Anolis sagrei: one gene and its partner. The protein of the gene in region 1 binds, or shares a complex with, the protein of each later gene. Links are inferred from orthologs where the notes say so. Each region holds a gene or a part of one and is shown on either strand. Other genes may lie near its edges.

What was found.
Region 2: the proteins of NTRK1 (region 1) and NGF are in contact, whole or in part, in a crystal structure (PDB 1WWW), measured with the Homo sapiens proteins. The link is inferred for Anolis sagrei from reciprocal best matches to the Homo sapiens genes NTRK1 and NGF. Residues at the interface, in NP_002520.2 of Homo sapiens: His291, Val294, Glu295, Met296, His297, Cys300, Pro302, Phe303, Ser304, Leu333, Glu334, His343, Gly344, Cys345, Arg347, Thr352, His353, Met379, Asp380, Pro382; in NP_001424474.1 of Homo sapiens: His125, Pro126, Ile127, Phe128, Arg130, Gly131, Glu132, Phe133, Ser134, Ser138, Ser140, Trp142, Tyr173, Phe175, Arg180.

What each region holds. Positions count from the first base shown.
Region 1 is NC_090032.1:10,578,665-10,594,472, reverse strand, and holds the start of NTRK1 (high affinity nerve growth factor receptor), read left to right. Parts: upstream 1-7,504; 5' UTR 7,505-7,633; coding exon 7,634-7,833; intron 7,834-15,168; coding exon 15,169-15,243; intron 15,244-15,808. UniProt on the Homo sapiens protein: Receptor tyrosine kinase involved in the development and the maturation of the central and peripheral nervous systems through regulation of proliferation, differentiation and survival of sympathetic and nervous neurons.
Region 2 is NC_090024.1:203,800,241-203,815,732, reverse strand, and holds the start of NGF (beta-nerve growth factor), read left to right. Parts: upstream 1-9,525; 5' UTR 9,526-10,063; intron 10,064-15,492. UniProt on the Homo sapiens protein: Nerve growth factor is important for the development and maintenance of the sympathetic and sensory nervous systems.

The DNA of each region.
Region 1 (15,808 bases):
GGAGCCCTATTCTTGACCTGCATCTTCTCCCGCAGTGAGGGCATTGGTTTCCAGGTGGAAGGCGGTCTTGATCGAGGTTGGCTTGATGCACCTTCCTCTTGGCATGTTTCTCTTTTTCACCCTCCATTCATGCCTCTTAAAATTCTACAGCGCTGCTGGTCACAGCTGACCTCCAGCTGGAGCGCTCAAGGGCCAGGGCTTCCCAGTTCTCAGTGTCTATGCCAGAGTTTTTAAGGTTGGCTTTCAGCCTATCTTTAAATCTCTTTTCCTGTCATCCAGCATTCCATTTTCCTTTCTTGAGTTCGGAGTACAGCAACTGCTTTGGGAGATGGTGGTCGGGCATCCAGACAATGTGGCCGGTCCAGCGGAATTGATGGTGGAGGACCATCGCTTCAATGCTGGTGGTCTTCCATATTATTTACACTAGTCGTCCCCTGCCACATGTTGCAGTGGCCCACATGGGGGTTCAGTGTGGGAGACTTGGCCCAATTCTGTTGTTGGTGGGGTTCAGAATGCTCTGTAGGTGAACTATAAATCCCAGCAACTACAACTCCCAAATATCAAGATTCTATTTTCCCCAAACTCCACCAGTGTTCATATTTGGGCATATTGAGTATCTGTGCCAAGTTTGGTCCAGATTGATCATTGTTTGAGTCCACAGTACTCTCTGGATTTAGGTGAACTACAACTCCAAAACCAAAGGACACTGCCCACCAAATCCTTCCAGTATTTTCTGTAGGTCATGGGAGAACTGTGTGCCAAGTTTGGTTCAATTCCATCGTTGGTGGAGTTCAGAATGCTCTTTGATTGTAGGTGAACTATAAATCCCAGCAACTACAACTCCCAAATGTCAAGGTCTATTTCCCTTAAACTCCATCTGTGTTCATATTTGAGCATATGGAATATTCGTGCCAAGTTTGGTCCAGATCCATCATTGTTTGAGTCCACAGTGCTCTCTGGATGTGGGTGAACTATAATTCCCAAACTCAATGTCAATGTCCACCAAACCTTTCCAGTTTTTTCTGTTGGTCATGGGAGCCCTGTGTGCTAAGTTTGGTTCAATTCCATCATTGGTGGGGTTCAGAATGCTCTTTGTAGGTGAACTATAAATCCCAGCAAGTACAACTCCCAAATCGCAAAATCAATTTGGGTTTAATGTATTGTCGAAGGCTTTCATGGCTGGAATCACTAGGTTCTTGTGGGTTTTTTCGGGCTATAGGGCCATGTTCTAGAGGCATTTCTCCTGACGTTTCGCCTGCATCTATGGCAAGCATCCTCAGAGGTAGTGAGGATGGGTTGTTAGGGTTGTTAGGTGTCAATTTGGGTTGTTAGATGTCTTGTGTCCCAAATGTCAAGGTCTATTTCCCTTAAACTCCATCATATTTGGGCATATGGGATATTCGTGCCAAGTTTGGTCCAGATCCATCGTTGTTTGAGTCCACAGTGCTCTCTGGATGTGGGTGAACTATAATTCCCAAACTCAATGTCAATGTCCACCAAACCTTTCCAGTTTTTCGTCAATTCGTCCAGTGGTTTTTGAGTTCTGTTAATCCCACAAACGAATATTACGTTTTTATTTATATAGATTACAGGTCACAACAGTAGCAAAAGGACAGTTGTGGAGTAGCAACGAAAATAATGTGATGGTTGGGGGTCACCACAACATGAGGATCTGTATTAAGGGGTCGCGGCATTAGGAAGGTTGAGAACCACTGCTCTATAGAGTGAGTGAGAGGTGAGTAGATTTGTTTTGCTCCCCATTCTGAGTCTCTTTTTGCATGCCCTCGAGCATGGCATATCCAAAAGAAGGCATATCCCGCCCCTCTGCAACATCTGCTGATGTACGGCCTGTGTTGTCGCTCCCTGCAGGAGCCCATCTGTGCCCACTTCCAAAGGGACCATCCATCAACAACGGCCATGCTTGTTAGAGGAGGCCAAGAGCTCTCTGGAGACCCCTAATACTCTCACTAGCCTTTCGGGGGCTCCCACTGGACTCTTCCTAGCAAATCGGGGCAACGAGGAGCAGAAGGAGAAGCAGGCGGGCCATCAACGGGGGCACCGATATCGGTCGGTTGGAGAGGGCTTACACAAAGGGTCTAGCTTTGCCTGGCAAAGAGCTTTCTCTTTTCCACAAAAGCCACCTCCAAAAAGTCAGTTGCCAACCTGGCATAGGGTTGCTGTGAGTTTTCCGGGCTGTATGGCCATGTTCCAGAAGCATTCTCTCCTGATGTTTCACCCTCATCTATGGCAGGCATTTTCAGAAGTTGTTAGGTCTCTTGGAAATGAGGCAAGAGGGCGACTAAAATGATCAAAGGTCTGGAGAACAAGCCCTATGAGGAGCGGCTTAAGGAGCTGGGCATGTTTAGCCTGAAGAAGAGAAGGCTGAGAGGATAGCCATGTATAAAAATGTGAGAGGAAGGCACAGGGAGGAGGGAGCAAGCTTGTTTTCTGCTTCCATGGAGACTAGGACGCGGAACAACGGCTTCAAACTACAAGAGAAGAGATTCCATCTGAACACGAGGAAGAACTTCCTGACTGTGAGAGCCGTTCAGCAGTGGAACTCTCTGCCCTGGAGTCTGGTGAAGGCTCCTTCTTTGGAAGCTTTTAAACTTTTTGGCCATCTGTCAGGGGTGATTTGAATGCAATATTCCTGCTTCTTGGCAGAATGGGGTTGGACTGGATGGCCCAGGAGGTCTCTTCCAACTCTTTGATTGTAGGATTCTATGGGGTTTATAGATCTGTGGAAAGATGTCCAGGGTGGGAGAATGAATTCTCTGTTGGAGGCAAATATGGATGTTGCCATTGGCCACCTTGACTAATAATAATAATAATAATAATAATAACAACAACAACAATCTCTCAGTTCTTGTGGGTTTTTTTGGGCTATATGGCCATGTTCTAGAAGCATTTCTCCTGACGTTTCGCCTGCTTCTAGAAATGCTTCTAGAACATGGCCATATAGCCCGAAAAAACCCACAAGAACTGAGAGATTCCAGCCATGAAAGCCTTCGACAATACATTGAACAACAACAACAATAATTTATTTATACCTTGCCACCATCTCCCCAAGGGGACTTGGAGCGGCTTACATGAGGCCAAGCCCAACAACACATCTATAGAAACAACAAGCAATAAGCAAAAACAATACAGACTATAATAATAATAATAATAATAATAATAATACTTTATTTATACCCCGCCACCATCTCCCCGATGGGGACTCGGAGCTGCTTACATGGGGCCAAGTCCGGACAACATAATACAGCAATAAAATCAAAGCATATACAACAAATAACAACATTATCAAAATGACATAATAATAATAATAATAATAATAATAATAATAATAATAATAATTCCAATAGATACAATCACAATAGAGATGACAATGGGCGGGCCACATATTCCAAATAAAAACAATTAACAGACTATGTATTGTCGAAGGCTTTCATGGCCGGAATCACTGGGTTGTTGTAGGTTTTTCCGGGCTATATGGCCATGTTCTAGAGGCATTCACACCTAGCTCTAGCAGACAAGAGTCCTTTGTCCCACCCTGGTCATTCCACAGATATATAAACCCTTTTTCCTAGTTCCAACAAACCTCACTACTTCTGAGGATGCTTGCCATAGATGCAGGCGAAACGTCAGGAGAAAATGCCTCTAGACCATAGCCATATAGCCCGAAAAAAACCTACAACAACCCAATTAACAGACTATAATGAGATAAAATAGGAGCAGGATGTTTAAATGGAACCCATAAAACACACAAGACTAGCATTGAATAGTCTTGCAGCTTCAAAGCCTGGCCGCTGAAAGGTTCTATCATCAAACAGGCTATATTTACCTGCCCACACATTTGGCTGAAAAGTTTTTGGACAGTTTTCTTATTTTCATTCTTGAAATATAAATATAAATTAGTAACAAAAAAATACGAGTACTTTAGCTTTTGTAAATTCCTTTGCCAGGATTCAGGTGAGCATAAGGGACACCTTCATGGAACAAGGTATGATTGGATGGTGGGTATTTTTTCCTGATAGGATATGCATGGGAGGCATCCTTTGGTGTTTCGGAGATGTGTGGTTAGGTCAAGGTAAGTCCAGTCATATTGAACTCTGGGGTTGGTGCTCATCTCCATTTCTAAGCCAGCGTTATCCATAGACACCTCCAAGGTCATGTGGCTAGCATGACTACATGGAGCACCATTAACTTCCCGCTGAAGTGGTATCTATTAATCTACTCACATTTGCATGTTTTCGAACTGCAGAAGCTGGGGTTAACAGTGGGAGCTCACCCCGCTCCTTGGATTTGAATGTGCGATCTTTTGGTCAGCAAGTTCAGCAGCGGTTTAACCCCACTGCACCACCGGGAGCTCATGTGTTTGGTTTACCGTATGCAAATGCATGTAAATATGGCTGGTGTATTGATTAATCAATTAAACACTGAGTGGTTAATCAATGGGCCTGCTAATCTGTGGCCAGCCCACAGGGTAAGAGACAAATTGGAGGAAGCCAACCTCCGCCTGTCCTCAAGCCCATCCTGACTTCTTCAGTCCGCGATAAAGCCAAAGGTGTTCTGGGGCACGCGAAGAGTGGCACTGACTATTGACAAGCTGGACTGTGTCCAAAATAATCAAAACATTGGAAGCCAAACTCTTTGAGGAACCAATTAGAGAGCTGGGGAGGTTTAGCTTGGAGAGAGAGAAAAGACTAAGAGGGGACGTGATAGCCATGTTTACATACGGAGCTTTAAATCTAATGTTAATTCTGTTTGCTATTGTCTTATATTGATTGTTTATGTTATTGTTTATCCTTCGTTATGTAGTTTATTGTATTGTATTGTAATTATTACCTTGGGTACCTGGTGGTGTCTGGGTTATTTGAGAAAGTCAATTTATTAATTGTGCAAAATGCATAACGTTGTGGGTGAACTACAACTCCCATCTGGCCAGGTTAACCCCCCATCAGTACTTAAAGATTGTTATGTTGGGCAAGTTTGCTCTGGATGCATCATTGGTGGGGTCCAGTGTGCTCTCTGGCTGCAGAGTAAACTACAACTCGCACTAGAGCAGTGGTTCTCAACCTTCCTAATGCCACGACCCCTTAATATGCTTCCTCATGTTATGGTGACCCCCAACCATAAAATTAGTTTCGTTGCTACTTCATAACTCATTTTGCTGCTGTTATGAATAGTAACAGATTGGGGGAGGGTATTGATTTTGTCCTGTGGGAGTTGTAGTTGCTGGGATTTATAGTTCACGTACAATCTAAGAGCATTCTGAATTCCACCAACGATAGAACTGAATCGAACTGGGAAACACAGAATTCCCATGATCAACAGAAAATACTGGAAGGGTTTGGTGGGCAGTGACCTTGAGTTTTGGGAGTTGTAGTTTACCTACATCCAGAGAGAACTGTAGACTCAAACAATGATGGATCTGGACCAAACTTGGCACGAATTCTCAGTATGCCCAAATGTAAACACTAGTAGAGTTTGGGGGAAATAGACCTTGACATTTGGGAGTTGTAGTTGCTGGGATTTATAGTTCACCTACAATCAAAGAGCATTCGAACCCTACCAAGGATTGAATTGGGCCAAACTTCCCACACAGAACATCCATGACCAACAGAAAATACTGTGTTTTCTGGTGGTCTTTGGTGACTCCTCTGACACCCCCTCGCAACCCCTCCAGGGGTCCTGACCCCCAGGTTGAGAAACACTGCACTAGAGTGAGTCAATTTATTTATTTATTATTTATTTAGAGCTTTTATAACCCGGTCTTCTCGAATCATAGAATCAAAGAGTTGGAAAAGACCTCATGGGCCATCCAGTCCAACCCCATTCTGCCAAGAAGCATGAACATTGCATTCAAATCACCCCTGACAGATGGCCATCCAGCCTCTGTTTAAAAGCTTCCAAAGAAGGAGCCTCCACCACACTCCGGGGCAGAGAGTTCCACTGCTGAACGGCTCTCACAGTCAGGAAGTTCTTCCTCGTGTTCAGATGGAATCTCCTCTCTCTTCGACCTCCGAAGAGAGACTCAGGCCGGCTAACAGCAGAAAATTCAACACAAATATAGTAAACATAATAGCATCGTAATACATTAATACAAATTACATTAAAATACAGATCATACAATATCATACTATTACAAAAGCCAGGTCGTCAGAATAAAATCACAAATTCATCCCCATCCGCCGGTGTGGTCAGCCGTTATTGACTCGATCATCATTCTGCAAATGCTATATTCCAAAGCCAGGTTTTTAGCAGCTTTCTGAAAGTCAGGAGGGGAGAGGCAGATCTAATCTCTAATGGGAGAGAGTTCCAGAGCCGAGGGGCCACCACCGAGAAGGCCCTGTCCCTCATCCCCACCAGACGCGATTGCGAAGGTGGTGGGACCGAGAACAGGGACCCTCCAGAAGATCTTAACAACCTTGATGGTTCATAGGGGAGAATCCATTTGGACAGGTAAACTGGGCCGGAGTCGTTTAGGGATTTATAGGTCAACACCAGCACTTTGAATTGTGCTCGGAAGCTAATTGGCAGCCGCCGCAACAGAGGAGTAGTATGCTCTCTGTACCCTGCTCCTGTTAATAATCTGGCTGCCACTCGTTGGACTAGTTGAAGCTTCCAGGCAGTCTTCAGAGGCAATCCCACGTAGAGAGCGTTGCAGTAGTCTATACAGAATGTAACCAGAGCGTGGACCACCGTGGTCAAGTTCAATCCCCTCGAACTTCTCTAGTAGGTTGAGTTAGTCATGGGGGTTCTGTGTGCCAAGCTAGTTCCAGGTCCATCATTGGTGGAGTTCTGAATGTTCATTGATTGCAGGTGAACTATACATCCCAGTACCTCCAATTCCTATAATTTGTGGTGAATTCTCCCTAAACCTCTCTAGTATGTTCAGTTGCTGATCAATTCCTCTGTTTGCTGTGTGCCATAGAAAAGGATTAAATAATAATAACAATAATAATAATAATAATAATAATTGCAGAGAAGCAACTGGAAAACCTGACACGATATGAGGATTTAAAGATTGGACTGCAAAGACTCTGGCACAAGCCAGTCAAGGTGGTCCCAGTGGTGAGCGGCACACTGGGTGCAGTGCCTAAAGACCTTGGCCTGCACTTAAAAACAATCGGCACTGACAAAATTACCATCTGCCAGCTGCAGAAGGCCACCTTACTGGGATCTGCACGCATTGTTTGCCGATACATCACACAGTCCTAGACACTTGGGAAGTGTCCGACGTGTGATCCAATAAAACAGCCAGCAGAGTGTCTGCTCTGGACACATCTTGTTGTGTTTCTAATAATAGTAATAGTAATAATAATAATAATAATAATAATTAGAATGGGATGCCAGTCCCAGTGCCCTGGCTCTACCTAGAGAGGGGCCATGGCAGCCTGCTCTCTCTCTCTCTGGGTCCATCCCTAGAGAGAGGGTCCTGGGGAGTGGGGAGGGGGCGTGGCCAGTGTGTGTGGGAGGCTCCTCCCCCTTTGCCCTTTAAATGCAGCGGCAGGCATCGGGAGGCAGAGGTGCCCTGCTTGGCAGAGAGAGAGAGAGAGGCAGGGATGCTCTGGGGAGCTGAAGGGAGGGAAGGGCTGTGCCCCATGGACCACTGAGACTGGGGGTCTGGATGGAGGCGAGGAGGGCGCCCTGGGGCCGGGCGGGGCTGGCCCTGTGCCTGCTGGCCTGGCTGATGCCCCTGCCGCCCCCCGCCACCCCCTCGCCCTGCCTGGAGCCATGCCGCTGCTACCTCAACAGCCTCCTCTGCCAGGAGCCCAACACCATCCGGAGCCTCGCCCAGCTCCGTAGCCTGGAGAACTTCACCGAAATGTGAGCAGCACCCAGGGATGGGCATGCCCCCCCCCCCGGGGGGGGGGACTCCTTCTGCCCGGCTCCTCTTCTTTCTCCTTTCTGCTCTTGGGCCACTCTCCTCCTCCTCTTCTTCTTCCTTCTCTCTCTTTCTGCTCCCATGCCAATCTTCTCTTTCTCCTTTTCCTTCTCTCATGACAATGTTCTCCTCTTCATCCTTCTCTCTCTTCTTGCTCTCATGCTGCCAGTCTTCTCCTCTTCCTCCTTTTCCCTCTTCCTCCTTCTCTCTCTTTCTGCTCCTATGCCACTTTCTTTTCCTCCTCCTCTTCCTCCTCCTCCCTCTTCCTTCTTCTACCCCTTCTGCTCCCATGCCATTCTTATTTTCGCCCTCCTTCTCCTCTTCCTCCTCCTCTCTCTCCCTCCTTCTTGCTCTTCTTGCTCTCAGGCTGCCAATCTTCTCCTCTTCCTCCTTTTCCCTCTTCCTCCTTCACTCTCTTTCTGCTTCCATGCCATTTTTTCTCCTCCTCTCCCTCCTCTCCCTTCCTCCTTCTACCCCTTTCTGCTCCCATGACAATCTTCTCTTTCTCCTTTTCCTTCTCTCATGCTAGTCTTCTCCTTTTCCTCTTCCTCCTTCTCTCTCTTCTGGCTCTCAGGCTGCCACAATCTTCTCCTCTTCCGACTTTTCCCCTTCCTCCTTCTCTCTCTTTCTGCTTCTATGCCACTTTCTTTTCCTCTGCCTCCTCCTCCTCCTTCTCTCTCTTCCTCCTATCTCTTTCTGCTCCCATGCCAACCTTCTCCTCCTTCTCCTTTTCCCTCTTCCTTCTTCTCTCTCTTTCTGCTCCTATGCCACTTTCTTTTCCTCCTCCTCTTCCTCCTCCTCCCTCTTCCTTCTTCTACCCCTTTCTGCTCCCATGCCATTCTTATTTTCGCCCTCCTTCTCCTCTTCCTCCTTCTCTCTCTTTCTGCTCCTATGCCACTTTCTTTTCATCCTCCTTTTCCTCTTCCTCCTTCTCTCTGCCTCTTTCTGCTCTCATGCCAATCTTCTCTCTCGCCTTTTCTTTCTGTCATGCCAGTCTTCTCCTCTTCCTCCTTTTCTCTCTTTCTATTCCTTTGCCACTTTCTTTTCCTCTGCCTTCTCCTCTTCCTCCTTCTCTCCCTCCCTCCTTCTATCCTTTTCTACTTCCATGCCATTCTTTTTTTCCTCCGCCTTTTCCTCCTTCTCTCTACCCCTTTCTGCTCCCATGCCAATCTTCTCTTTCTCCTTTTCCTTCTCTCATGCCAGTTTCCCCTCTTCCTCCTTCTCTCTCTTTCTGCTCCTATGCCACTTTCTTTTCCTTTGCCTTCTCCTCTTCCTCCTTCTCTCCCCCCTCCTTCTATCCCTTTCTGCTTCCATGCTATTCTTTTTTCCTCTGCCTTCTCCTCTTCCTCCTTCTCTCTTTTCTTGCTGTCATGCTGCCAATCTTCTCCTCTTCCTCCTTTTCCCTTTTCCTCCTTCTATCCCTTTCTGGTCCCATGACATTCTTTTTTTTACCCCCCCCCCCTTCTCTTCTTCTCTCTCTTCTTGCTCTCATGCTGCCAATCTCTTCCTCCTTTTCCCTCTTCCTCCTTCTCCCTCTTTCTGTTCCCATGCCATGCTTCTTTTCGCCCTCCTTCTCCTCTTCCTCCTCTCGCTTCCTCCTTCTCTCTCTTCTTGCTCTCATGATGCCAATCTCCTCTTCCTCCTTTTCCCTCTTCCTTCTTCTCTCTCTTTCTGCTCCTATGCCACTTTCTTTTCCTCCTCCTCTTCCTCCTCCTCCCTCTTCCTCCTTCTACCCCTTTCTGCTCCCATGCCATGCTTCTTTTCGCCCTCCTTCTCCTCTTCCTCCTTCTCTCTCTTCCCTCTTCTCTCTCTTCTTGCTCTCATGCTGCCAATCTTTTCCTCTTCATCCTTTTCCCTCTTCCTCCTTCTCTCTCTTCCTCCTTCTACCCCTTTCTGCTCCCATGCCAATCTTCTCTTTCTCCTTTTCCTTCTCTCATGCCAGTCTTCTCCTCTTTCTCCTTCTCTCTCTCTTTCTGCTCTCATGCTGACAATCTTCTCCTCTTCCGACTCTTCCCTCTTCCTCCTTCTGTCTCTTTCTATGCCACTTTCTTTTCACATGCCAATCTTCTCCTCTTTCTCCTCTCTCTCCCTTCACTCGTGCCAGTCTTCTTCTCTTCCTCCTTCTCTCTCTTCTTGTTCTAATGCTGCCAATGTTCTTCTCTTCCTCCTTTTCCCTCTTCCTCCTTCTATCCCTTTCTGTTCCTATGTCATTTTCTTTTCCGCTGCCTTCTCCTCTTCCTCCTTCTCTCTCTCCCTCCTTCTATCCCTTTCTGCTTCCATGCCATTCCTTTTTTCCTCCGCCTTCTCCTCTTCCCCCTTCTCTCTCTCTGCTCCCATCCCAATCTTCTCCTCTTCTCCTCTCTCTTCCTTCTCTCGTGCCAGTCTTCTTCTCTTCCTCCTTCTCCTTCCTCTTCTCTCTCCTGCACCACTTTCTTTTCCTCCTCCTTCTCTCTCTTCCTCCTTCTACCCCTTTCTGCTCCCATGCCAATCTTCTCTTTCTCCTTTTCCTTCTCTCCTGCCAGTCTTCTCCTCTTCCTCCTTCTCCCTCTTCCTCCTTTCTGCTCCCATGCAAATCTTCTCCTCTTCCTCCTCTCCCTTCCTTCTCTTGTGCCAGTCTTCTCCTCTTCCAACTTCTCTCTCTTCCTCCTTTTATCCCTTCTTGCTACCATGCAACTTTCTTTTCTTCTTCCTTTTCTCTCTTTCTGCTCCCATGCCATTTTCTTTTCATCCTCCTTCACCTTTTCCTCCTTTTTTCTCTTCTTGCTCCTATGCCACTCTCGTCTTCTTCCTACTGCTCCTTCTTCCTGCTCCCATGCCAACCTATGTTCCTCCTTTTCCCTCTTCCACCTTCTCTTCCTGCCCCCATGCCACTCTTTCCCCCTCTTCTTCCTCCTTCTCCCCTTTCCCCCTCTTCCTTCTTCCCTTTCTTTCTGCTCCTATGCTATTCTTCTTTTCTTCCTCCTCCTCTCCCTCCTCTCTCTTCCGGCTCCCATGCCAGTCTTCTTCTCTTCATCCTTCCCCTTCTTTCTCCTTTTTTTCTTTCTATTCCTATGCCACTCTTTTTCTTCCTCTTTACCCCTCTTCCTGCTCCTTCTCCTCTTCCTCTCTCTTCCTGCTCCCATGCCAACCTTCTCCTCATCCTCTTTCTCTCTTCATGCGCCTATACCACTTTTTGCCTCTTTCTCCTTCTTTCTTTCTGTTCTTATACCACTATTTCCTGCTCTTTCTGCCTCTTCCTCCCTCTTCCTGCTCCTATCTCAACTTCTCCTTCTTCCTGCTCCTATGCCACTCTTCTCCTTCTCCTCCTTCTCCTCCTTACCCTTTTCTTTTTCTTTCTGCTCCAATGCCACTCCTTTCTTCCTCCATCTAATCTCCCTCTTTTGCTCTCTTCCTGCTCCTATGCTACTCTTCTCCTCTTCCTCCTTCTCCTCCGTACCCTTTTCTTTTTCTTTCTGCTCCAATGCCACTCCTTTCTTCCTCCTTCTCATCTTCCTCCATCTAATCTCCCTCTTTTGCTCTCTTCCTGCTCCTATGCCACTCTTTCCCTCTTCCTCCGTCTCCCTCCTGCTCCTATGCTACTCTTCCTCCTCCTTCTCTTTCTCTTTCTCTCACTTCCTACTCCCATGCCAATCTCTTCCTCATCTTCCTTCTCTCTCTTCCTTCCTCCTTCTCTCTCTACTCTTCTCCTCTTCCTCCTTCTCTTCTCTTCCTCCTTCTTTCTCTTCCTTCTCCTATTCCGCCCTTTCACCGTACTCTGAGGTTCCTGATGCCAGGAGTGGCACCTGAGTCATGCTGCCTCTTCTGTGCCATCCTGCCCAGTGTTCGTGTCATTATGAAATAGTCTCATCTATCTATTCTACCTCTACTAAGCGCAGTGGCCCAGTTGGTTGAGGCAGGAGAAAGCAGGAGGGCACCTGAGTGCCAGGGAGTGGGGAGGGATGTTCCTTTCTCTGCCCTTAAAACCACACCTTTTCCTTTGGCACAACTGAAGCCAGAAAGGCATACATTGAAGGGGCAAGAGCTGGGCCCCAATGGCTCAACCTCTGACTTGTCCAAACAGCTCTCCTGGAAAGGAGAAAGTGGTGGACTTGGTGAACGAGGCAGGTGAAAGAATGCCTTGGTTCAACTGGCACACCAAATGGGGCTCTTCGAAGCCCTGAGTGGCTTCGCAAGGCTGCCCTCCAAGTGCCCACTCAATTACGGGAGTGGCAAAAACACCAAGTTCTGTGCCAGCTTGCTCCTTGATAGGAGGCTGCTGGTTTCCTAACAAAATACCCCTCGAAGGGGGGCTGTTCCCAAATGGGAGGAGAGCGAGTCCAGCTCTGATGCCCTTTAGGGGTCCTGGCATCAGGGGTGAAGTGGCCCCATCTCAAGAAGTTGAAGGCAGGGTGGGCAAGGGCTATACAAAATGGCAGAGAAGCAAGACTGGTCTGAAAGGAAGAAGAATACAAAGCTGGTGTCTAAGGACGGTATTTGCAAACTTTCACCAAGAGCTGTCTTTGCCAGAACCAACATAATTTGACTGTGGAATGAATTGTCCTAATAATAATAATAATAATAATAATAATATCATATATAATTACTTATTAATTGCCCTCCATCCGAGAATGCTCTAGGCGATTTACAGCTAAATTGTAAAAGATGAAATACATACATATAGAAATTAAAAATTAATAACAAATTAATAACAATAATAATTATGGATTGTCGATGTCACAATCCCAGATGACAGCAGGATTGCAGAGAAATAACTGGTAAAGCTGACACGATATGAAGATTTAAAAATTGAACTGCAAAGACTCTGGCACAAGCCAGTCAAGGTGGTCCCAGTGGTGATCAGCACACTGGGTGCAGTGCCTAAAGACCTTGGCCTGCACTTAAACACAATCGGCGCTGACAAAATTACCATCTGCCAGCTGCAGAAGGTCACCTTACTGGGATCTGCACGCATTATTTGCCGATACATCACACAGTCCTAGACACTTGGGAAGGATCCGACGTGTGATCCAATTCAACAGCCAGCAGTGTTTATTATTGTGATTATTATTATTATTATTATTATTATTATTATTATTATTATTTTACTGACACAAAAGCACAGTATGTCACAGCAAACGAGATCTATATTATTATTATTATTATTATTATTATTATTATTATGATTGCCACTGATTCAGAAAATTGCCTTGAACAGATCCCACCAGCTCTAGTTTCTTAGATATGGTTACCATGATTTCTTATGGGTGAGCAGATGGCGGCTGAGAGATGCCATATGTTCGTATCTCAAAAACTAGAGCTGAGAAGGAGGAATATGTACCAGTTTTGGAAACAGCAGGTCAAATATACCCAGAGCTAACATTTGAGGCATCAAAATGTATATTGACCAGTTACTGGGGCCGGATGGTCTCCCATCCTAGAAGCAATAATTGAGGATGACCCTGCTTAGCTGGGAGCTGCGGTGGTGGAATGGGTTAAACCCTTGTGCCAACTGAACAGCTGACCTGAAGGTCAACAGTTCAAATGTGTGAGACAGAGTGAGCTCCTATCTGTCAGCTCCAGCTTCCCATGTGGGGACATGAGAGAAGCCTCCCACAGGATGGTATCACATCTGGGCGTCCCCTGGGTGCCTGGATGGCCAGATCCCCATTTGCACCCCTTTTGTGATGATTCAAGGGGTAAATCCAGGGAGCCAGGAGTCGGGTCTCCCAAGGGTGTGGGTCTTGGACTTTAGTCTCCCGATGCCTTGAAAGAGACTCAGAAGAGGGGTCAGCTCTGTGTCCCCTTCCATTGCGCCCACCCCACTTTGTGCCCACCCACACTGACCCCCGGCCAGCTCCCCATTCCCTCCTCAACCCATCATTCCCCAATCCAAATCCCGTGCCAGACCCCCATTTGCACCCCTTTTGTGATGATTCAAGGGGTACATCCAGGAAGCAAGGGGTCGGGTCTCCCAAGGTTGGGGGTCTTGGGCTCAGGTCTCCCCATGCCTTGGAAGAGACTCAAAAGAAGAGTCAGCTCTGTGTCCCCTTGCATTGCCCCCTCCCCACTTTGTGTTCACCCACACTGACCCCCAGCCAGCTCCCCATCATTCTCCAATCCAAAGGGATCAAAGCCCCTGCCAGACCCCCATTTGCACCCCTTTTGTGATGATTCAAGGGGTACATCCAGGAAGTCAGGGGTCGGGTCTCCCAAGGTTGGGGGTCTTGGGCTCAGGTCTCCTAATGCCTTGGAAGAGACTTAGAAGAGGGGTCAGCTCTGTGTCCCCTTCCATTGCCCCCTCCCCACTTTGTGCTCACCCACACTGACCTCCAGCTGGCTCCGCATTCCCTCTTCAACCCATCATTCCCCAATCCAAATCCCACGCCAGATCCCCATTTGCACCCCTTTTGTGATGATTCAAGGGGTACATCCAGGAAGCCAGGGGTCGGGTCTCCCGATGCCTTGGAAGAGACTCAGAAGAGGGGTCAGCTCTGTGTCCCCTTTCATTACCCCCTCCTCACTTTGTGCCCACCCACACTGACCCCCAGCTGGCTCCCCATTCCCTCCTCAACGCATCATTCCCCAATCCAAAGCCCCCGCCAGACCCCCATTTGCACCCCTTTTGTGATGATTCAAGGGGTAAATCCAGGAAGCAAGGAGTCGGGTCTCCCAAGGTTAGGGGTCTTGGGCTCAGGTCTCCCCATGCCTTGGAAGAGACTCAAAAGAGGAGTCAGCTCTGTGTCCCCTTGCATTGCCCCCTCCCCACTTTGTGTTCACCCACACTGACCCCCAGCCAGCTCCCCATCATTCTCCAATCCAAAGGGCTCAAAGCCCCTGCCAGACCCCCCATTTTCACTCCTTTTGTGATAATTCAAGGGGTACATCCAGGAAGCAAGGGGTCGGGTCTCCCAAGGTTGGGGGTCTTGGGCTCAGGTCTCCTGAAGCCTTGGAAGAGACTCAAAGAGGGATCAGCTCTGTGTCCCCTTCCATTGCCCCCTCCCCACTTTGTACCCATCCACACTGACCTCCAGCCAGCTCTCCATCATTCCCCAATCCAAAGGGGTCAAAGCCCCCTCCAGACCCCCATTTGCACCCCTTTTGTGATGATTCAAGGGGTAAATCCAGGAAGCCCTGGGCAACGTCTCTGCAGACGGCCAATCCTCTCAAAACCAGAAGCGACTTGCAGTTTCTCAAGTCATTTCTGACACAATAAGATAAAAACCTAGCTTAGTGTATTGTCAAACCCGGCTCAGCTTCCTTGCATTGGACTGGATGCAAGATCTCCCTTTCTCTTTCAGCGTCATCGAAAACCAAACCACGTTGACCAACCTGACGCTGGAGGACATGAAGAACCCTCGAGAGCTGAAGAACCTGTGAGTTTCTAGGCTGGAGGACAGGGTGGTGTTGTTGGGCCAACCCAGTTAGTTTCTATTAAGCAAAGAGTTGCATCTACACGGTTTGGGTCCAGGTTACAATTAGGTCTTCGTTCATCATCGGCTGCCCTTAGATCAGGGAATGGTTTGCTAATTGAGCTGTCAAAATGTAAGACGAGATCTATTTCTTCCGGCATGCCTCCCCTGTGAATTTTAAATTTATCTTTGATTAGTATTGGCGTTTTAATCATTGTTCTACGTCTTTAATCTATGTATTATTATGGCCCTTTGATTTATCTATATTTTAAAATTATGTTCTCCCTCGCCTCCAGCACCGAGAAGAGGTGATGAATAACAAAATGTATTAGCATTAGGACACTATGTAACACAGTTCTCGTTCCTGGGTTATAAATGATATTTCCTAATTGATTTTATCATAAAATCATGGAAAACGTTTATTAAACTGCAAACGCTTTGTTTTTTTGCGGGACATCCCGCAGGACATTTTGTTCTAGTTTTCCCATGAATATCTCATCGCGTCTCAACCAATTCAACATAATTTGTG
Region 2 (15,492 bases), on another chromosome or scaffold:
CTCCATGGCATTTTACAACTGTGCCATTATAAATCCAACTGAAACAATGGAAATGTTGTAGGTTAACACTTATGTAAGTTAAATTAATTCAATATGTGTACTCGTATTCACATTAGTTAATTTAGGCCTAAGAATTTAAGCATGATGATATTTTGTAGCTGTTGCCTGAGAAAATAACTAGTTTGTTGCAGATGTTACAATATAACATACAGCATAGTAGGCACTATGCAGCACAGAAACTTGTATTGTAACCTCAATGCAGCTACAATACCATCTGAATGGGACTCCACATGATGGGCTTATCTTCATGGGCACAGTTCTCAAAGTGGGCAAAAAGTTGCTCTGTGATGTCTGCATGATGTCCTACCCAAACAATTTTAGTTTAATCTTATATTTAATCTTTGTTCTGTGTATTTTAATATGTATTTTGTAGAAATATGTTTTAATATGTGTTTTTATAGAATGTTTTAGATGATTATACATTTTTAGTGATCTTGCAACCCACCTCGAACTACAAGGAGAGGTGGGTAAGAAATAAAATTGTTGTTGTTGTTGTTGTTGTTGTTGTTGTTATGTATAAGGCTTTCTTGCTCCCAATGTGAGGTGAAGCCACTTAACATGGCTTTGCCCTCCATTACAAAAAGTCAAAACTTCCCTGAAGCTCCAAAGCAGGTTTGCACTTCAAGATGGTGTGAGTAGTTTAAAGGGCCAGTATTGCCGCATAGTTTTCCCCACACTTTGTGACATAGGGAAAAGAAGATGATGCCTAGTTGTGTCATTTTTTCATTGCTGTAGTAGCACCCCCCCCCTCCTCACCCCCACATTTCTGATCACATTGACAAAAATTCTGAGCAATAGACACGAGCTCTGTGGCTGTGACTACAGCAGCAGTGGTGGTAGCTGTTGTAGCCTGGTCAGATTCTGAGTGTTCAGATGAGGAGGAAGGGGATGCTGGGAAAGATTCAGAGGGCCTGGAGGAGAGAGGAAGTGGCCCATAGAGAGTTGTTTTGGAATATCCTCCCGGCTGTTCCCAAGAGACTGGAGAAGGTGAGATCCGTTCACATGGGAACCTGCCAGATGTTTGTCTAGGTCAAGACAATTGGAGTTGCAAAGACTGGGCATGTAACAGACTCGCTTTTCCCAGAGAATTAGAGATAAGGAGCAGAGAAGCAGGTGTGTGAGAAATAATGTCACGAAAGGATTTGGGGCTTTTTAAAGTGGTTCCTGCTGGTACAATCTTTGTGAAATCAATGCTGCATTAAGATAAAGAGTTCTTGGTTTTTGGGAGGGGGGTTGTTTTCTTGGCATGTATGTATTCAAGTTTCTAAGCTGTTCAACATCCAGGGCAAATTGGATGTTGTTATTGGTGAGATGTCAAGACTAAAGATAGACATTCTGGGGGTCAGCGAACTGAAATGGACTGGAATGGGCCACTTCACATCAGATGACCACCAGATCTACTACTGCGGACAAGAGGAACATCGAAGAAATGGAGTAGCCTTCATAATTAATAAGAAATTCGCTAAAGCGGTGCTTGGATACAACCCAAAAAATGACAGAATGATCTCAATTCGAGTGCAAGGAAAGCCTTTCAACATCACAGTGATCCAAATATACGCCCCAACCACAGCTGCTGAAGAAGCAGAAGTAGATCAGTTCTATGAGGATCTGCAGGAACTACTGGATAATACACCAAAAAGAGACATTATTTTCATTACAGGAGACTGGAATGCCAAGGTGGGAAATCAAATGACAACTGGGATCACAGGCAAGCATGGTCTGGGAGAACAAAATGAAGCGGGACGCAGGCTGATAGAATTCTGCCAGGAAAACTCGCTGTGTATAACGAATACTCTCTTCCAACAACCTAAAAGACGGCTTTATACATGGACCTCACCAGATGGTCAACACCGAAATCAGATTGACTACATCCTTTGCAGCCAAAGGTGGCGGACATCCATCCAGTCGGTGAAAACAAGACCTGGGGCTGATTGTAGCTCAGACCACGAACTTCTTATTGCCCAATTTAGAATAAAACTAAAGAGATCAGGGAAAATACACAGACCAGTTAGATATGATCTCACTAACATTCCTAGCGAATATACAGTGGAAGTGAAGAACAGATTTGAAGGACTAGATTTAGTAAACAGAGTCCCAGAAGAACTATGGACAGAAGTCCGAGACATTGTTCAGGAGGCGGCAACAAAGTACGTTCCAAAGAAAAAGAAAACCAAGAAGGCAAAATGGTTGTCTGCTGAGACACTGGAAGTAGCCCAAGAAAGGAGGAAAGCAAAAGGAAACAGTGAAAAGGGGAGATATGCCCAGTTAAATGCGCAATTCCAGAGGTTAGCCAGAAGAGATAAGGAACTATTTTTAAATAAGCAATGCACGGAAGTGGAAGAAGACAACAGAATAGGAAGGACAAGAGACCTCTTCCAGAAAATTAGAAACATTGGAGGTAAATTTCAGGCAAAAATTGGTATGATAAGAAACAAAGATGGCAGGGACCTAACAGAAGCTGAAGAGATCAAGAGAAGGTGGCGAGACTATACAGAAGATCTGTATAGGAAGGATAACAATATCGAGGATAGCTTTGACGATGTGGTGAATGAATTAGAACCAGACATCCTGAGGAGTGAGGTTGAATGGGCCTTAAGAAGCATTGCTAACAACAAGGCAGCAGGAGATGATGGGATCCCAGCTGAACTGTTTAAAATCTTAAAAGATGATGCTGTCAAGGTGATGCATACCATTTGCCAGCAAATATGGAAAACACAAGAATGGCCATCAGACTGGAAAAAATCAACTTATATCCCCATACCAAAAAAGGGAAGTGCGAAAGACTGCTCAAACTTCCGTACAGTGGCCCTTATTTCTCATGCCAGTAAGGTAATGCTCAAGATCCTGCAAGGAAGGCTCCAGCAATACATGGAGCGAGAGTTGCCAGATGTTCAAGCTGGGTTTAGAAAAGGCAGAGGAACGAGAGACCAGATTGCCAATATCCGCTGGATAATGGAGAAAGGCAGGGAGTTTCAGAAAAACATCTACTTCTGCTTCATTGACTATTCTAAAGCCTTTGACTGTGTGGATCATAATAAATTGTGGCAAGTTCTTGGTGGGATGGGCATACCAAGCCACCTTGTCTCTCTCCTGAGGAATCTGTACAAGGACCAAGTAGCAACAGTCAGAACTGACCACGGAACAACAGACTGGTTCAAGATTGGGAAAGGCGTACGGCAAGGCTGCATACTCTCACCCAACCTTTTTAACTTGTATGCAGAACACATCATGCGATGTGCGGGGCTGGATGAATGCAAAGCTGGGGTGAAAATTGCTGGAAGAAACATTAACAACCTCAGATATGCAGATGACACCACTCTGATGGCCGAAAGCGAGGAGGAGCTGAGGAGCCTTCTAATCAAGGTGAAAGAAGAAAGCGCAAAAGCCGGGTTGCAGCTAAACGTCAAAAAAACCAAGATTATGGCAACAAGAATGATTGACAACTGGAAAATAGAGGGAGAAACCGTGGAGGCCGTGACAGACTTTGTATTTCTAGGTGCAAAGATAACTGCAGATGCAGACTGTAGCCAGGAAATCAGAAGACGCTTACTTCTTGGGAGGAGAGCAATGTCCAGTCTCGATAAAATAGTGAAGAGTAGAGACATCAGACTGGCAACAAAGATCCGCCTAGTCAAAGCCATGGTATTCCCTGTAGTAACCTACGGATGTGAGAGCTGGACCTTAGGGAAGGCTGAGCGAAGGAAGATCGATGCTTTTGAGCTGTGGTGCTGGAGGAAAGTGCTGAGAGTGCCTTGGACTGTGAGAAGATCCAACCAGTCCATCCTCCAGGAAATAAAGCCCGACTGCTCACTGGAGGGAAAGATACTAGAGACAAAGTTGAAGTACTTTGGCCACATCATGAGGAGACAGGAAAGCCTAGAGAAGACAATTATGCTGGGGAAAGTGGAAGGCAAAAGGAAGAGGGGCCGACCAAAGGCAAGATGGATGGATGGCATCCTTGAAGTGACTGGACTGACCTTGAGGGAGCTGGGGGTGGTAACGGCCGACAGGGAGCTCTGGCGTAGGCTGGTCCATGAGGTCACGAAGAGTCGGAGACGACTGAACGAATGAACAACAACAACAAGCTGTTCTTGCTTCCAGTTCCTGTGTGGCATAGTTTGGAGTCATGTAACCTTGCCTTTGGATATCTCTGTGGATTGACTTTGGAGACTTTCTTTTAATAAATTTTTGGACTCTCAGCATTTATGGAAATAACATTTTGAACTTTGATTCTCTCTTTTGAATTTGCTTGCTTTTTATATATTCTGCCTTTAATAAACTTTTACTTATTGGATTATATGGACAGTGTGTGGTTTGTAGTGAAAAGAGGCTTCAGGGCCCTAGTGAAACAGCAGCAATGGCAGCAACAACAGCAACAATCGACACAAACAAGTGTGGCTATCCAGTAGTAGAGCCTAACCAGGCTAAGCCCAACTGGGCAATCCAGACTTAATCCTGCTACTGCACAACGAAATGGGAAAGAGGAGGGTTCAATCTGGAGTACTGCCACTCCAGATTTAGGACATATTAAATGGCTCTTATAGAGGGACCCATCATTATCACTTTAGGGCGGAAACTAGCATGGTATATAGGTTAGACCAGGGGTCCTCAAACTATGGCCTGGGGGCCGGATACGGCCCTCCAAGGTCATTTACCCGGCCCTCGCTCAGAGTCAACCTTAGTCTGAAATGACTTGAAAGCACACAACAACAACAACCATCCTATCTCATCAGCCAAAATCAGGCCCACACTTCCCATGGAAATACTAATAAGTGTATATTTGTTAAAATTGTTCTTCATTTTAATTATTATATTGTTTTCATGTGGTTTTTGCACTACAAATAAGATATGTGCAGTATGCATAGGAATTCATTCATGTTTTTTTCAAATTATAATCCGATCCTCCAACAGTTTGAGGGACTGTGACCTGGCCCTCTGTTTAAAAGGTTTGAGGACCCCTTGGGTTAGATTATTAGATGAAGATGGAGCTCTCCCGCACCTTGAGCTTGATTTTCTTCACAAGGCTACTTTGACCTTCTTAGAGAAAATAAAAACTATGACTGTTGCAAGCAATTAATTAACCAACCAACCAACCATTACCACACTTTCTTGAAGGCACTTGTACAGTATGTATAGGCACTATGTAACAATAAGACAATACACCCACATGGAGACAGCACATCCTCATTTGGAAAGGGTTATCATTAGCAATCGCAACCTCATTATATTTCACTTGGCGTGATGCAGTCTTGAGGCAATATAAGCAAGTTAAACACTTCAAAACTATAAAATAATTACAATACATTTTAAAAGAGCTTAATCATCTTGAAAATAGGTTTAACAGGTTAGAACAGTCTAAAACCTAGTGCCTAAGTATCTTAGAGTGAGTCACTTACTCCCCAAATGCTTCTTATATTAGTCATGTTGATATATGGCACCTATATAAAGTTTTAATTGGCACCAGGTAAAGGCATTCCACAAGTGGCATATTACAAATGAGAAAGCCTCACACAGCATTGATCATATCAATGGGATACATAAGAGATCCCTTCTGGCAGGCTCTGTCATTGGGCAGACATATATAGAGATGAGTACTTCATTTCCCTGTATGTTTACAATAAGCATATTTAGGCAAAATCTAAGGAATAGCCATTAAGCTTTATGGAAGGGTGACCTAAGTGTCTGCTGCACTCAGTATGTGAGTAATGTCCAGGCCAGGCATGTATACCTTTCACACTTTAGTTGTGAGCTCTGTAAAGAACACTGTAAAGAATAATTTATTGCCTTGTTATTGATTAATTGTGCAATATGCTATTACTTATGCATACCACTCTGTAATTGACAGGCGTAGGCATAATTGGTTTACCCTGGCATGAACTTTCACAGAGGGTTCTTTGCTTTCTCTTATGCCTTGTTATTGATGAATTGTGCAATTTGCTATTACTTATATATACCACTCTGTTATTGACAGGCATAGGCATCATTGGTTTACCCTGGCATAGCTTTTGCAGAGGGTTCTTTGCTTTCTCTTATGCCTAAAGTGCACTGAGTTTCTTTTTCAATATTTTGAAACCAGAAGAAGGAGAATCCTGCCAAACTAAGGCAAGTTTGCTACCGGGCACAATTCAAAGTGCTAGCTTTAGCCTATAAAGCCCTAAACGGTTCTGGCCTAACTTACCTGTCTGAACTCACCGTCTCCTCTGAACCAGCTAGGGTGTTAAAATCGTCTGGGGAGGCCCTGCTCTCGGTCCCGCCAGCGTCACAAGTATGTTTGGCGGGGACGAGGGACAGGGCCTTCTCAGTGGTGGCCCCTCAGCTGTGCAACGCCCTCCCTACAGATATTAGATCACCCTCCTCCCTGTTGACATTTCGGAGGAAAGTGAAGACCTGGTTGTTCGAGCAGGCATTTGAATAGGCAGTGTAACGAACATAGGAATATGGAACAATTGGATTATGAGACTGGATCTTGATTTTAACTATGAGACGCTAATGAGATGTTTAATTGACTTATATTGACTGTTTATTATGCTATTGTTTTAATTGTTTATAACTGTTTTATGATTTTTTGAGCATTGCATTTTGCTATTGTTAACCGCTCTGAGTTGCCCCAGGGCTGAGAAGAAAATATAGTAAATAAATAAATAAATTTATTCTAGAAAGTATGGATTTATAATCTATGTATCTTGGCTTGCTGATGGTGATTAGCAATTTGTGGAAAAAAATTATTTTGACATTATAAATTAATATAATGTCCCAGCTTTTTAACGTCAGCTTGTTACTATTATATTGGTTGCACAGTACAGAGTCCCAGTCTCCCAAAAGTAACAATATTTATTATAACTGTTTACATGTCACCCTTTTAAGTTTTTTATCAGAAGTTTGCTTGATCATCTAATTCAACATTCAAACAGAGAATTCTCAGTTGGCACTCAATTGCTTTTCTGACAGTGGTAGTCCAATATCTCCTACTGAAAACTGTGCCACTACTGATAATCCCATTATTACCATTTCCCTGCATTACCCTTCCTCTTTCACCCTGCTTTCCTTCCAGCACACAAATATTTTGACTCCCTCTCTTGCCTTTCAGTTTGGCTGCCTATGCCATCTATTCTTACATAGAAATATTGGCACATGGTGCAGCAGCAGGATATGAAGAAGGATGATAGAAGAGGAGGAGGTAGTAGAAAGTTAAGGTCAGGCACCCTCAAACTACAACCCTCACTCCAGCTGTTTGTGTCTCTAGCTCCCAGAATTCTTGACTATTGAACAAGCTGGCTACGGCTTAGACTCATAGAATCATAAAGTTGGAAGAGACCTCATGGCCATGCAGTCCAACCCCCTGCCAAAAAGCAGGAAAATCACATTCAAAGCACTCCTGACAGATCGCCATCCAGCCTCTGTTTAAATGCCTCCAAAGAAGGAGCCTCTGCCACACTCCGGGGCAGAGAGTTCCGCTGCTGAACGGCTCTCACAGTTAGGAAGTTCTTCCTAATGTTCAGATGGAATCTCCTTTCTTGTAGTTTGAAGCCATTGCTCCATGTCCTAGTCTCCAGGCAGCAGAAAAAAAGCTTGCTCCCTCCTTCCTATGACTTCCCTTCACATATTTATAAATGGTTATCATGTCTTCTCTCACCCTTCTCTTCTGCAGGCTAAACAGCTAGAGGATGCCTGGTTATGATAATAACTCAGCCAATGAGGCAGGAGAAAAGAAAATGAGGGAGAAGTACAAGGGAACTTTAGAAAAAGAAAGGAGTTGAGGATGGAAAGTGTGTTTGGTGGTACCATGTAAGGAAACAGATAAATGAGGATGTGCAGGAGATGTGGTGAGTTAAAAGGGAAGGCGATCAAGCAAAAAGGGTGGTTGTCAGGCAATGAGGAAAAGAAGCAGCACAATTCACAATGTCCAGTGCTCTTCTTCCTCCAGCAAATCAATGAATGGCAAGAATAGAAATGACTTAGATCTTATTACACCACTAAAGTGTGATTTCTATAGGCATAGTATCCTTAAAATTGATACATGTCGTTTCCATGATTTCACTTGTTCACTTCGGCCTCCTGTACAAACTACCACTTCTTTTCAGCATCTCTAACATTCACAGGAACATACCCACCATGGATATTGGAGGGGATTGTCCTGTATTTCACCCCCCACCCCATCTTCCTTACTAGTACTTGCTTGGCCTCTGTCCCTCACTTTTTCCCCTCCGTGATGCTGCAGGAGGAAGACAGTGTGGCACAGAGTGAGGGAGCAACAAGGGAGTGTTTCACCATTGGCAGTGCTGTGCCCCCCCCCCCCCCAAGGATGAAAACTGGAGATAGCAGCAATAATGGTTCTGTAGGAAATGAAATTTTGGGGAACTGATGCCTTAGGGTATTTGGGTCCAGTTTGATCTTGGCAACCCAAAGAGAAACTGGATTGACTCCACTGAATATGTCATTTCTGCAAATAGCCCTGTTTCGAATTCAAATTTCTTCCCAAGAAGATCCAAAAGCAAACAAAGGTGGTGGCTTTGTACCTTGGTGTGGGGGCTGCTTCTTGGGGGGAGGCTGCCAACAAGGAGCAGATTCTTTAAGGGTTGTTTTCAGTGTTACAGATCACCAAAACGAATGGGCTTGAAACCCTTGAGGAAGTACACTGTTTCTTCCAAATACCATATATGTTTTTTCCATGTCAAGCATGACTTGAGAAACTGCAAGTTGTTTGTGGTGTGAGAGAATTGGCTGTCTGGAAGGACATTGCCCAGGGGGTGCCTGGATGTTTTGATGTTTTAGCATCCTTGTGGGAGCCTTCCCTCATGTCCCCGCATGAGGAGCTGGAGCTGACAGAGGAAGCTCTACCCACTCTCCCCAGATTCGAACTACTGACCTGTTGGTCATCAGTTCTCCTGGCACAAGGGTTTAACCCATTGTGCCACTGGGGCTCCCAAAGACCAATTGAAGGCACATGTATGTATACTGTATACCTTGTAGAAGGAAGGCAGTTTGACCAGAGGTCAGCTGCCATGGCTCCTTGCTACTGGATTTTAGTTGGGTGAGCCACCAGAGAAGGAGAAAGACTTTGTGAAATGTAATGGTATAGAACACATCGTCATGGCAATGAAAGTGGGGTTAAATTGCATTCATCCGACAGTGTAGATCAGGCTTGGGCAAACTTGGGCCCTCCGGGTGTTTTGGACTTCAACTCCCACCATTCCTAACAGTCACAGGCCCCTTCCTTTTCCCCCTAGATGCTTAAGCTTAAACCTGTTAGGAATGGTGGGAGTTGAAGTCCAAAACACCCGGAGAGCCCAAGTTTGCTCAAGCCTGGTCTAGATGCCCTCGTAGGCGATTTCAACCAGACAGTCCTGGTGTCCGGAGCTTGTTGCGGATAAGCGAAGACCTGGTGCCAGGTCAGGCACGATGGGCGTGGACGGCTGGGTGGGTGGACCTCGAGGCGTCGGGGAAGCCCCGTGGGCGGCTGCTGTCCCTCCTCAGGAGACAGGAGCCGGGGCCCCTCGCCCGGTATGAAAGCGGGGCGGGCGGGAGGAGGAGGCGGCAGAGAGAGGCAGGCGCTCTTCTTTCTCTCCCGCGACGTGTCCCGCGCGCCTTCCCTGGGACTCACTCAGTCAGAGCCGGCCAGCGAAGGAAGGAGTGAGTGAGTGAACGAGCGAGTGAGCGGCCCTCGGGGGAATCTTCCCGCGCGAGTCTGGGCAGCTCGCTCCTCGGCTTTGATGGCGCTAGGACCCAGGCGGAGCGCGAGCGGGAGGCCGAGGGAGAGCGCCCCCGGGGCTGCGTGAGTCAGTCCGACCGACCTACCGTCCGACCATCCGTCCGAGGAGCGCCGTCGGAGTCGAAGGGCAGCGCGCGGTGGATGAGGCTGGGGCGCGCGGTGGCGAAGTGGATGGCTCGCGGGCGCCGGGGGAGCGGCTCGAGGGTTCGCGGAAAGCGGGGCGGCCACGGAGAAGAGAGCAGCACCGGCACCAGCTCCTCCTGAAGGGGATCTCTCTCCACCTGCCCGCCGGAGGTGAGTGAGTGAGTGAGCGAGGGAGGGAGGGAGTGGGACCAGCACAGCCTGGGCGACTTGTGCCCCCGGGCAAACTCCAAGGGCGCCTCTTCTGTACTGTAGTCGAATGAATGCCGTTGAATGGGCAACACTTGAACTGCCCTTGAACTGGCTCGGGGCTGTCTTTCGCCTTTCAGAGATTCCAGACCACACATCCCAGGAGTGCCAAGCCTCTCCTTGGGGCCCTAAGCCACCCTTGGGAAATTGCTCCTTTTCTGTCTAAGGTACAGACAATACAGTTGGGAACTACATTATGGCGTTAGTGTAGGATCTATATACAGTAGAGTCTCGCTTATCCAACCTTCCCTCATCCAACATTCTGTATTATCCAATGTAGTCTGCTTCCTGCCCTGATCCACAGCTGTTTCAATACATTGCAATGTTTTGCTGCTAAATTCGTAAATATAGTAATTACTAGAAAACGTATCATGTACTGAACTGCTTCTTCTGTCAATTTGTTATAAAACATGTTTTGGTGCTTAATTTGTAAAATCAGAACATAATTTGGCATTATATAGGCTTTTGCTTAATCCCTCCTTATTATCCAACATTTTCGCTTATCCAGCATTGTTCCGGCCCATTTATGTTGGGCAAGCAAGACTCTACTGTAGTTGCATGCAGTTAAACTGCATTATATGGGTCTACACCACCCATAATCAGCCTTCCATGTGTTCTGGACCTTAACTCCCTTAATTCCTAACAGCCGATGGGAGCTAAAGTTGGGCCCACTTTCATCTTGGCAACCCAAAGAGAAACTGGATTCACGCCACTGAACATGCAATTTCTGCAAATGGCCCTGTTTCAACTTCCAAGCCCCATTCCCAAGAAGATCCAAAAGCCAACAGAAGTGGTGGCTTTGGAGCCAAGGAGCAGGTTCTTCAGGGGCTGTTTCCAATATTACAGGTCATCAAAACGAATGGGCTTGAAACACCTGGAGGGCCCAAGTTTGCCCATCCCTGGTCTATACTGACGCTATAATGCAATATCCAAATTGCAATATCTGGCAGTGTAGATCCAGGCAAAAATCCCTGGTTAAAAAGTCCCGCAGCCTCTATTAATAGCTCCAGGAGGGGAGTCTGGAGGGTAGGTTTGTTGTAAACCACTTTGAGTCCCCCCAGGGATAAGAAAAGCGGGATATAAATACAGTAAATAAATAACATAAATAGATTTGCAGCAGGCCTTTGCTAAGTGCAGGGTTCGTTTTCCAAAAACCAAGGGCACGAGAAGCCCATATTGATGCCATTAGTATGAAACACCACGCATGAATGTGACCTTCTGCTGTAAGTCAGTGCAAGATTGCCACTCTTTCCTCCTCTCCTTTACAGTTTTTAAGACAGCAATAGACACTGCATTTCTAAATCAGTTGATTCTCCCTCTTTTATCCCTCAAGCAATGAACTCCTCGCTGTCTGCCTAGCAGGGGCAGGATGGAAACGGATGGTATTCATTGATTTATGCTTCAGGACTGGGCTCTGTGTGTGAGTGAGTGTGTTTGACACCAGACAGTGGTTGAAAGAGTTGAAAGGGAGGGGGAAGGATAAGAAGAGTTTTGAATTTGCAGTTTGTTGGAAATTGGTGGCATTATTTCTCCTTCCACTGAACCTCAGAGCATTTCCATGTTTTCTCAGAATATTTGGAATTTTAAGAACAAATGCCTAAATAAGAGTGTGCTTGTTTGCTATGTGCTTTTCTGCAGTGTTGGAACTAGGAAAGTTTGCAGACATCAGAGGGTACTGGTGGAAAACCTTTTGTGGTATGAACTAAGGCTCTGTGTATGATTTCTTGTGTGAATCCCAGTAACAAAGTCTCTTCTGTTGACCTGAGAAGTTGCTAAAACTTTGAGATCCTGGTTGTTTTTGTTCTTAGAGATTTGTTCTTAAACTCCTCCTGACAGCTTCACTTGTGCAGATGCATTAAAGCCACCTGGTTTCAGTGATGTCTTCTGTTTGGTCAACAACTTCATAATTGGATTGTTGTGAGTTTTCCGGGCTGTATGGCCATGTTCCAGAAGCATTCTCTCCTGGCATTTTGCCTGCATCATTTTCCTAATTTCCAACAGACTCCAGAACCTCTGAGGATGCCTGTCATAGATGCAGGCAAAATGTCAGGAGAGAATGCTTCTGGAACATAGCCATACAGTCTGGAAAACTCACAACAACCTAGTGATTCCGGACATGAAAGCTTTTGACAATACAACTTCATAATTAAATGATTCAACCGTGATGACCTTTCTGTGTCATTGCATAGATAGAGTGCTGCAGTGAAATGAAATCTATAGACTGTAGTAAAATCACATCATGATGGTCCATGGAAGTATTATCTGAAAGATCTTAAACCAGGATAAATAAGTGCCAGGGGCCAGATGAGTTAGATGAGACACATGCCTTGGCGAAGAGAACGGGGACCGTAATCTCCACTTTCTGAATCACTGCTTAACAATCCAAGGAACATCTGGAGACATTGCTCAGCGATATAGTCACTTTCAAAGGGGTATGTGGAATTGGGATAATGATTATTCAACAACTTCAGAAATGCAGGGAACTCGCCCTAAAGGGACAGAATCTGTTTCATGGTAGAAGTCATGTTGACGGCTGCTCATTACTCCATCCCAGCACTAGATCAGCTCCGAGTTCACAGTTTTGCTTAACAGCATTCACCTGCTGCTGCTGCCGCCTCTTCTTGGTGAATTGATTTCAGATTCATTTAAAACATTGCCAGGAGCTCAAGGATTTTTCATCGCCCCATAAAAATGCTTTTATGGCCTACAGAGCCAGTCCCAGTTTTAAAGAAGGAGTATTTCATATATGCATTACATTGTCAGAGTTTAGATTCAAAAAATCTAGCCTCGTTCTGTGTTGATGTTACCTTTCTTTTATGGAACAAAATGAAGGCACAAATTAGAATGGTGTTGTCTGCTTAATGGGATAAAAATTACTTTGATAATGGTTTGCTGTGAATTTTCTGGGCTGTATGGCAAGGTTCCCGAAACATTCTCTCCTGACGTTTCACCCACATTGGCAGGCATCCTGAGGTCTGTTGGAAACTAGGCAAGTGGCATGTCCATTTGCGAACTAATACTTTGATATCAGTTTGTAATCACTCAGTAGACATCAAAATTATGTTGTGTTGCTTTCAAAAGAAGCAATGTTTCTTTCAAGATTCCTGTACATATTCATTATTTTCAGTTTAAGAGCTGAAATGTACTGTCTTGTTAGCACTAATGTATTTAGTCCTTCCAACCCCCAATTGAGGGGGGAAATGTTGCTCAAATGTCATCAAACAAAACTTACAGATTCTGTCACATCATTGGTTCAGTTTGTGGTTGGGAGGATGATGTAGTGTCTTTCCCAGAGCTCCAAACCACCACTTTCCATTTTTCTGATTTTTTTGGAAAAAAAGGTATCATTCCATTTAAAGCAATGGGGACCTCTGCTGGCAATTCCAATCTAGCAAATACACGCTGAGTGCAGTAATCTGATAAACATGAATTGTCCCTGATTGGTTTAATAACCTCCATTAAAGAAAGTTACAAAATGCTAAGTAAACATACCCAGAAATAAGTTGCATTGACATTAATGAGGTTTGCTTCTGAATAAATGCACTTATAGGGATTGAGCTGGAGTTTTTTTTTATAAACATTATTTTTTAAAAAATCTCTCCAGATGTGTTCTTAGGTTTTGTGTGGAACTGCGAGGCAGATTCTTTACAGATAAGATTTTTTGTTTTATGCTGTATGCCAGAAAACCCTCCTGATTTTGTCTGCAGAGTGGAGGAGTAATTTTAATAATACAACAAAATTTCAGGGTCGGGAAATTGTGCCACATTTCATTCTGGCATTTCAGATGGAAACAGTTGACTCTGTTATAGGTTAAACATTAAACCGTTCATCGTCTGGAATTAATTAATCTACAGAAAGACAAGTGGGGCTTTTGGGTCTCCCCCACTCCAGCCTTTGTATGATTATCAAGAAACAAAAGAATTACACAATTAAGTTGTTTGTGAATTAAAAGAGAGATACAACACTCCTGTATGTGCTTTCCATTGCCTTGAAATTCATGGTGCTTACTCAGTTTAACTCTGCCTTGGTTTGTTCAATATGAACAACTGGACTTTCATAGAAATAGGAGACCACCCATCAATTGCAAATGCTGTCCATGGAAATGGTAGATAACCAAAGCAGCAAGAACTTTAACCACAGCTATGAACTAGAGAGCATATGGCAGACCTCTTCACCAAAATGACTTGTTCGCTGTTGCCTATGGATGCGAGATCTGGACTTGATAGTAGCAACTGTGGTTATCTCCCCTATAATTAGAATAATAATAAAAATTCAGCAAGAGCCAGTAAGTTATGAGCATTTGTGGTAAGAACTTGTCAAATGTTAGCTTCCCCAGTACTAAACTGCTTTACTGGAAACAATATATTACAGTGTAGAAAGATGTGAATATAGGCAGCTTTCTGTATCCATGGATTCTGCACCCATGGATTCCGCTACCCACAGATTGAAAATATGTATTAAAAAAATTCTGAAGAGGAAACCTTGATTTTGCCATTCTAATTAAGGGACAGCATTTTGCTATGCTGCTGCATATCAAGGGATTTGAGTATCCATGAATTTTTGTGTCTACAAGAACCAAAGCTCTGTAGATACTAAAGGTCCACTATCTAAACCAAAATGTTTCAACAATACCAAACTTGTTTCATACAACAATCATTTAATTAGACTGTACTATATGTATTGTGTTTGGTCTCATCTTTTGTATGAAACAAGGGGATCCTCACAGAGGCTAACATCCAGTCCCTTTGAGGTGCAAACATCCTATAGTTAGGCTCAAATGTAATGGGAAATGGTATTTATTTATGTATGGTGTCAGAAGCAAATTGAGGGTACATTTATAATGTATTTTAAAACACAAACAAAATTTAAAACTTGGCATTATACTAAATTTCCTTTGACCAGTAGCTGGCCACTTGGAGTGCCTCTGGTGTTGCTATAAGAAGGTCCTCCATTGTGCATTGTGCAGGCTGTATTATAATAAGTGGTTTGTGGTTTACTCTTCTCCACACTCGCATGTTGTAGACTCTACTTTGTAGCCCCATTTCTTAAGGTTAGCTCTGCATCTCGTGGTACCAGAATTTAGTTTGTTCAATGCCTTTCAAGTCACCCAGTCTTCTGTGTGCCCAAGTAATAGACCCAAGGAAGAGTCTCTCATTCGGTATCAGACATGGATTGAGGTTATGAGTTTTAGCCTGCCGCTTTTGGACTCTCACTTGCTGAGGTCTTCCTGTGAGTATATCTGCAGATTTTAGAAAGCTATTTCTTGATTTAAGGCATTGGCGTGCTGGCTGATATCTGAACAGAGGATGGGCCTGAGATGTCACTTGTAAAAT